Linked DNA regions of Saccharomyces cerevisiae S288C. The main gene of each other region encodes a partner of the protein of the gene in region 2 in a complex. Each region holds a gene or a part of one and is shown on either strand. Other genes may lie near its edges.

Region 1 (3,786 bases), on a different chromosome or scaffold from region 2:
CAAGCCTATTCAAGATATTAGTTACGATCCCGCAGTACAAACTTTATATGTGCTAATGGCAGATCAAACAATTCACAAATTCGGCAAGGACAGGTTGCCTTGCCAGGACGAATACGAACCAAGATGGAATTCTGGCTATTTGGTTTCAAGAAGGTCAATAGTTAAATCTGACCTCATCTGTGAGGTTGGGTTATGGAACCTTAGCGATAACTGCAAGAACACAGTATAATTCCCTCATTTCCAATAACATTGTCGCTGATAAAATCGTGATTCTCGATCAATGTGCTACGCGTCGTGCAGCGTGACAAGGGGCTAAAAAAAGATACAAGAATTCTTGTTGTTTCCAATTTGCTTCGCCTCAGAAAAAAAAATAAACAGATTATACAATTTTTGTTTGATTTGTATTGGGTACTACATGTTTTAGTAGTTGATACAAATACTTCTTTATCCTAATCGTATATATTTATTTTACCAGCAGGAATTCGTCTTTAATATCGTTTCGACCATCGATCATTCCTCTGAGTATTGCAAAAACATTTTTGGAACAACCCAAACTTAAAGTTACAAAACTCAAAAAAGGAACAAAATTAATAAAACAAAAGAATCGCTGTTAGAGGTTTATTGTTGCACTAATAGAAAATCATAGAACTTTAAAAATTATACTAGAAAGATGTCACAACAAGTTGGTAACAGTATCAGAAGAAAGCTGGTAATCGTTGGTGATGGTGCCTGTGGTAAGACATGTTTATTAATCGTCTTTTCCAAGGGCCAATTTCCAGAAGTCTACGTACCAACTGTCTTTGAAAACTATGTAGCAGATGTTGAAGTTGATGGGCGTCGTGTAGAGCTAGCGCTATGGGATACCGCTGGTCAAGAAGATTATGATAGACTAAGACCATTGTCATACCCAGACTCCAATGTCGTATTAATTTGTTTCTCTATCGATCTTCCAGATTCTTTAGAGAATGTACAAGAAAAATGGATTGCCGAAGTATTACATTTCTGTCAAGGTGTGCCAATTATTCTTGTTGGTTGTAAAGTGGATTTGAGAAACGACCCACAAACCATTGAACAATTAAGACAAGAAGGTCAACAACCCGTTACATCACAGGAGGGACAATCTGTAGCAGACCAGATTGGCGCAACCGGATACTACGAATGTTCGGCCAAGACTGGTTATGGTGTCAGAGAAGTGTTTGAGGCCGCCACTAGAGCTTCATTGATGGGTAAATCTAAAACGAATGGTAAAGCTAAGAAGAACACTACTGAAAAGAAGAAGAAGAAGTGTGTCTTGTTATAGGAGTGTCTCGATCTCTCAGTCGTTAACTTAGTGGCAGATACTGCCCTTTTTCAATCCCATTCCTTTTCTCATTGTATGTACGTATGCCTTTTTTTGTTATTTTAGCTCTAACTATAGCTACTTGTTTTTCTCCCAGTATGTGTATAATCTTATTCTTCTCTACATATAAGTGTATTGCTCAGTAAGTATTATCATCTATTAAAGAAGAATAAAAATTATCATGTATTTATTTACAAGTGCGTATCCTATATATATATATATATATACTTTCGCGATAAAATTTTTTACCAAATACCCTTCTTAACACCTGGCAAATTACCCTTCAGAGCGTTTTCTCTAAATTGATACCTACACAACCTAAAATCACTTAGAACAAATCTTGCATGTCCAGAGTCCACGCACCTATTTTTGATCTGCGTAGATCTCATGTAGTTTGGCAATGCATTTAGTTTTAACTGAGCCTCCAACCTCAGTTTTGTTGGAAGGTTCATATTTCTAGCGATGAATTTCAAAGATTTAACAAGGATTTCATTCTCTTTAAATTGTTGTCTTTTGAAGTTATCCCTAAGTATGCGAGCATTGATAAACCCTGGTGGTAGCTTGGTTTTTATAGGAAATCTGAAATTACCCATCGGTTAATGTATATATTTGTCAGTTTACCTTTTCTTTCGTTTTTCCTTTCAATCCTCTTTATCGCAGTTTGGTTCTTAGTTTGAATATTCCTCTGTTTTCGCTCTTTTCTCGTACAGCGCGAATTCTCCGCCAGCTTTAGAAAGTTGTAATCATTGGTGTTATTAAGGAATAAATAATTAGTCACATACATATGGTTATATATCGTACTCTATCTATCTAGGCATCTTGCTTTAAAAATTGCGCGAATCGGCTGGCTTCATGAATTCCACACTCGGTCTTGGCCTTGCCCTTCCATCTTCCTGCTCTCTCATCTTCACCTTCCTTGACGGGTTGTGTGGAATGGTAATCACCAATGGATCTATATCCAAGGTCCAAAAGTTCGTTGTATGGTACATTGTTTGCATCTATATACTGTTTAACCTGCTCGAACGTCCAATTGATCAATGGATTTATTTTTAAGATTCCATTAAGTTCGTCTATTTCAATAATCGACAGTTGGGAGCGGGCAGAACCTTGTGATTTTCTTCTACCAGTAAACACAGCACTTATATGTAGCTCTTTGTAGGCACGATGTGCAGGTTCCACTTTGGCCAGATAATCGTACTTGTCATCATCTTTCTCCCATAAGAAATCCCCGTATTTCGAGGCAAAATCTGCCTCCGATTCACATCCATCCGGCTTATATACGTGAATGGTTTGATTTTTAGGCTGGTAGTATTTTTTCTCAATCTCGTTTTTTAGTGTTAAAGTTTGTGGGAAATGGTGCAAAGTGTCTATAAATAATAGTTCTGGCATGTAGTATTTTTCAGATAGCTTTGACAACATATCGATAGTAACCAAGCCAGTCAAACCAAATGCAGTGGTTTGGAAAAGGTGAGGAAACGTTACGATAGACCATGCAATAATCTCCTGTGGCGTTTCCAGCTTGATTAGTTGTTCATTCCAATGATCCAACTGTTCTTGTGTGACAATTATATCATTATTCAAATGATAGGTCTTCATTTTATGAGTTGCTATGGGTTGATACCTTTGCTGGCCTTAGTTTTGATCTTAAAGCATTGAAAAGGTTACAAACAGTACAGTATACTTTTTTTATATCAATATAATACTATCTCTATGAGCTTTTACTTTGTCGAGATTTGCTGAGTCATGTTGTGGCTTTTCTTTTACTAGCCACGTGAAATGATGATAAAAATAAAAAGAATAACGACGGAATAAAGAACAGTATGATAAACCGTAAAGATATTTAGAATCAATAGGTGATGTCCACCCGGTAACAAGATGCCATTCATGTTAAACTAGGACAAATTTCCTTCTTGTCCCCCCACCATTCTCTTTTATCCAATTCTTTTGTCAGCGCGCATTAAAGAACAAGAACTTCGTACTTTTAACTACTAACTCCTGTTTGAGAAAGAGGCAAATATATAGAAAAATAAACCGATAAGATGAATGGAAACAGCACTAACAATGAACAATTGCAGCAAGAACTGGCCACTACTCAAGACCAAGTGGCTTCGATTATTGAGTCCTTCGTTGAATTAGGTGTCTCGATATATGATTTTCCTGGTACTCCAGAAGCCACCAAGGGAATGATCACCAACTTGCAAAGAAATGTGGATCGCTTGTACAAGCTGAACGTGAGAAGCAACGATCCTCAATCCAGCTTGTCTAAGGTGGACATTCCCTTGGAAGTTGTTCAATACATTGAGGACGGTAGAAATCCAGATATTTACACAAGAGAGTTCGTGGAAGCCATAAGAAGATCCAACCAATATCAAAGAGGCAAGATGCATGGATTGAAGCAATTAAGAGATTCACTTGCTGACAAGATTGTGGATGAATTTCCAGAGTTG
Region 2 (5,641 bases):
TAATAAAAAATAATAATAATATATAATATACCTTTTTTTTAATATATTAATATATAAATAAATAAATAATGGATAATATATAATTACTTTTTTTATATTATTAATAATAATAATTTATAAATATTGTTATAATAAACATTTATATAAATAAATATAAATTACCATAATAAGATATATTATTTATTAATAATAAAAATATTTATTAATAAATAAGAAATATATATATTATGATAATATTTATTAATAAATAATAAATTCTTTATATATAAATATATTAAATATATTTAATTGAACACAATATAATTTTTATTGTATTATTCATTTAATAATATTAATATTAATATTAATATAATATTAGTGAACATCTCCTTTCGGGGTTCCGGCTCCCGTGGCCGGGCCCCGGAACTATTAATATTTAATAAAATATATATAATTTATAATTTTCATATAATTAATATAATAATTAGGTTTATAAATAAATTATAATATATTATAACAATATAATAAAATATATTATAAATCTATCTATCTATCTATATAATATATAAATTTATATATACATTAATAATATTTAATTATAATTATTTAAATATTTAATTTATTAATATTCCCCGCGGGCGCCAATCCGGTTGTTCACCGGATTGGTCCCGCGGGGTTTATATTATTTAAATATTAAATATTAAATAATAATTTATATTATATTAATAAATATAATAAATTAAAAATATATGATTAATTATATAATAATAATAATAATTATTTTAATATTATAATTTATAAAATTAATTATATTAATTATATTAATTCTTATTATATAATAATTATTAATAATAATTTATTTTAAGAAAGGAGTGAGGGACCCCCTCCCGTTAGGGAGGGGGACCGAACCCCGAAGGAGAAAATAAATTAATAAAAGTTTAAAAGTTCTTATATTAATAATTATATAATATTATATTAAAGATTTTTATAATATATATATATAATATATTTATAGTTCCGGGGCCCGGCCACGGGAGCCGGAACCCCGAAAGGAGTTTATTTAATATTTATATTTATATTAATATTTATATTTATATTTATATTCCTCTTAAGGATGGTTGACTGAGTGGTTTAAAGTGTGATATTTGAGCTATCATTAGTCTTTATTGGCTACGTAGGTTCAAATCCTACATCATCCGTAATAATACATATATATAATAATAATTTTAATATTATTCCTATAAAAATAAAATAAATAAATAAATAATAATAATTAATTAATTAATTAATTTTAATAAATATAAAATATATAAAAATAATAATAATAATAATTATTATTTTAATAATATTATTTATATAATAGTCCGGTCCGACCCTTTTTATTCTTAAGAAGGGATTTTATTTTATTAATTAATAATAATATATTAAAAATTATAAATAATTAATAATTCTTTATATTTATATATATATATATATATTTATATATTTATATATATATTTTAATAATATTATGATATATTTTATTTTAATAATATTTTTATTTTTATATATAAAATTATAATATTTTATTTTATAAATTATTTATATATAAATTATTAATAATAATTATTTTTTTTTATTTGGGATTTATATTATTATTATAAAGAATATAATGTTATTAATAACTGCAAAAAATATCTAATATATTATTATTTATAATAATAAATAATATTATAATAAGGATGCATATTATATATATATATATATTTCTATTTATATTAATATTAATATTAATATGTATATATAATAGATAAAAAGTAAAAATAAAAAATAATGAAATTAAAATTATTAAATATAATTTTATCAATAATAAATAAACTTAATAATAATAATAATATTATTATTAATAATCTATTAGATTCATTAATAAATAAGAAATTATTATTAAAGAATATATTATTAGATATAAATAATAAAAAAATAAATAATATAAAAAGAATATTAAATAATAATAATATAAACCCCGCGGGCGCCAATCCGGTTGTTCACCGGATTGGTCCCGCGGGGAATATTAATAATAAATTACAACATTTAAATAATATAAATAATTGAAATCTACAAATTTATAATTATAATAAAAATATAGAAATTATAAATACTATAAATGATAAATTAATTAATAAATTATTATATAAAATAATAACTTTAAAATTAAATAATATAAATATTAATAAAATTATTATAAGTAAACTTATTAATCAACATAGTTTAAATAAATTAAATATTAAATTTTATTATTATAATAATGATATTAATAATAATAATAATAATAATAATAATAATTATTATATAAATATAATAAATAAATTAATAAATATTATAAATAATAATATAAATAATAATTTATGTAATATTTTAAGTTATTATTATAAAAAAAAAGTAACTATTGAACCTATTAAATTATCATATATTTATTTAAATAGTGATATTTTTAGTAAATATATTAGTTTAAATGATATAGATAAATATAATAATGGTATCTTAACTAATTATCAACGTATATTAAATAATATTATGCCTAAATTAAATGATCATAATATTTCTATAAATTATATTAATAATATTAATAATATTAATAATAATAAATATAATAATATAATTAATTTATTAAATAATAATAATAATATTAATAATAATAATAATTATAATAATAATAATAATAATTATATTGGTAATATTAATAATATTTATAATAATATAACTATTGATAATATTCCTATAGATATTTTAATATATAAATATTTAGTTGGTTGATCTATTAAATTTAAAGGTAGATTAAGTAATAATAATGGTAGAACTAGTACACTTAATTTATTAAATGGTACTTTTAATAATAAAAAATATTTATGAAGTAATATTAATAATAATTATAAATTAAATTATATCCCTTCTAATCATAATTTATATAATAATTCTAATATTAATAAAAATGGTAAATATAATATTAAAGTTAAATTAAACTTTATTTAATATATATATTAATAGTTCCGGGGCCCGGCCACGGGAGCCGGAACCCCGAAAGGAGAAATAAAATAAATATAATAAATAAAATAAATAAATAAATAATATATATATATATATAAATATATAAAATAATATTTACTTTTTATATATATATAATTATATATAAATAAAATATAATATAATATCATATAATTATATAAAAATAAAATTATAATTTATTTATATTAAAAATATTAATTAATTAATTTTTTTATATAATTATTATAATAATAATTTAATTAAAAATAAATATCAAATAAAATTATAAATTAATCCTACTTTTGGATCCTATTTATATTTTATTATTATAAATAATTATTATTGATAGTTAATTAAATAAAAATATATATATATATTACTCCTTCGGGGTCCGCCCCGCAGGGGGCGGGCCGGACTATTATAATTATTATTAATATATTAATTATTAAATTATATAAACCGCCCCCGCGGGGGCGGTTAGTTATTTATATTAATATATTTTATATTAATATATAATACTCTTTTTTCTATTATATTTTAATATATAATATTAAAAAAAATAAATAAAATAATATTCTTAATTTTTATTCTTTATCTTCTTTAACCAAACTCCTTCGGGGTTCGGTCCCCCTCCCATTAGGTTAGGGAGGGGGTCCCTCACTCCTTCGGGGTCCGCCCCCCCCCGCGGGGGCGGGCCGGACTATTTTAAATTTTAATTTAAATTTTATAAATATAATATTTAATTATAAATTTAATAATAATATATAAAAAATATATATATGGTTAATATATATAAAGATTATAATCTTTTTATTAAATAAAGGAAAATTTATTATATAATTTTTCTCTATAGTTATATATTTAAAACTTATTTTTTTTTTTTTATAAATAATAATTATAATAAATAATATTAATTATTTATTATATAATTAATTGGCCCCCATGCTGGGTTCCGGAACTCCTCCTTCTCGCGAGGTTAACACCTATTATATAACTATAACTATAACTATAACTATAATTATAATTATAACTATAACTATAAATATTCATTTTAATAATAATAATAATAATAATATTAATATAAATAGTCGAAGAATATATTTATTTATTTTAATATAAATAAAAAGTTTCAATTAATTTGAATTTGGAATTAAATTATTACTTCATATGGGGTTATGGATTTCGTTCGGAACTCCTCCCTCCTACCTCTATTTATTAATCATAAATCATAAATTATTATTAATTAATAATAATAATTTACTCGAGGTTCATACCTATTTTAATATTAATATTAATATTGATAAAATATATATTCACTAAAAAGTATATAATTTACTCAATTTATACTATAATTTTATATTTTTTTATTATAATTTAATTATTTCAAATAAAGTAATTATAATAATATATATCCTTTATTAAATATATATTAATTAATATATATATAAAAAGTAAATATTATTAATTGTATATAATTATAAATAATTAATATTTATTAAAATATATATAATTTATAATCCTCATATAATTAATATAATAAATAATATAACACAATGTAATTTAATTTAATTACATAATAAATTTATTATTATTATAATTATTATTTATTTATTTATTTATTATTATAAATTATAAATATTATTATAATTAAAATCAATTATTAATTATTAATGATAAATAATTAATGATAAATTATCAATAACCAATTAGATTATTTATCGATATTTAATTATATTATATTATATTATATTATATATATATATATATATTATATTATAAAATTTATTTATAAATATTTGTTTATTTATTTATTTATTGAATAACAATAGAATTAAATATTGTCAATAAATAATAAATAATGTTTAATATATATTATATTATATTAATATTAATATTATTATTATTTTTTTTATTATATTAATATAATTTATAAAAATATAAAATTATTATTTTTATTATAATTTATATATATATAATATATATATTTATTAAAATATTTTAAGAAAGGAGAAAAATAATTAAATTAAATTAAATTAAATTATTTATTATTATTATTATTATTTATATAATAATATATTATTTAAATATTTATATATTATTTTTATATTAATATTTATAGATGGGGGGTCCCTATTATTATTGAAAATAATAATTATTAATGGACCCCAGATAGCTTCTTGTTTATCATTTATATATATATATATATTATTAATTATTTTATTCTCCTTTCGGGGTTCCGGCTCCCGTGGCCGGGCCCCGGAACTTTATAATATTATTATTAATTATTTAATTAATATTATAATCATATAATTTAATATTTTATTTAATTTTATTAAAATTTAATATATATATTTTTATTATTATTTAATTAATTTATAAATATAAAATATTCTTAATATTAAAAATAAATAAATAATAAAGTTTATAAATCATATATTATAATTATTTATTATTTTTATATTATATTAATAAAATATTATTATTATAAAAAAAAATAGAAATTTTATAATATTTTTATATATTTTTAATTATTATTATTAATATTTATTAAAGGAAATATAAAAACCGAAGGAATATTATAATTATAATTATAATTATTATTATATTTAATTTATTATTATAATAATAATTATAGTCTGCC

Evidence for each region.
Region 1: VAR1 (region 2) and MRP2 share a complex: the UniProt entries of both Saccharomyces cerevisiae proteins name them as parts of the mitochondrial small ribosomal subunit.

What each region holds. Positions count from the first base shown.
Region 1 is NC_001148.4:874,698-878,483, forward strand, and holds MRP2 (mitochondrial 37S ribosomal protein uS14m MRP2), read right to left. Parts: upstream 1,933-3,786; coding exon 1,585-1,932; downstream 1-1,584. Other genes in the region: MMS1 (Mms1p), read left to right, coding at 1-229; Rho family GTPase RHO1, read left to right, coding at 671-1,300; MET16 (phosphoadenylyl-sulfate reductase (thioredoxin)), read right to left, coding at 2,150-2,935; mediator complex subunit NUT2, read left to right, coding at 3,379-3,786. UniProt on the Saccharomyces cerevisiae protein: Component of the mitochondrial ribosome (mitoribosome), a dedicated translation machinery responsible for the synthesis of mitochondrial genome-encoded proteins, including at least some of the essential transmembrane subunits of the mitochondrial respiratory chain.
Region 2 is NC_001224.1:47,110-52,750, forward strand, and holds VAR1 (mitochondrial 37S ribosomal protein VAR1), read left to right. Parts: upstream 1-1,791; coding exon 1,792-2,988; downstream 2,989-5,641. UniProt on the Saccharomyces cerevisiae protein: Component of the mitochondrial ribosome (mitoribosome), a dedicated translation machinery responsible for the synthesis of mitochondrial genome-encoded proteins, including at least some of the essential transmembrane subunits of the mitochondrial respiratory chain.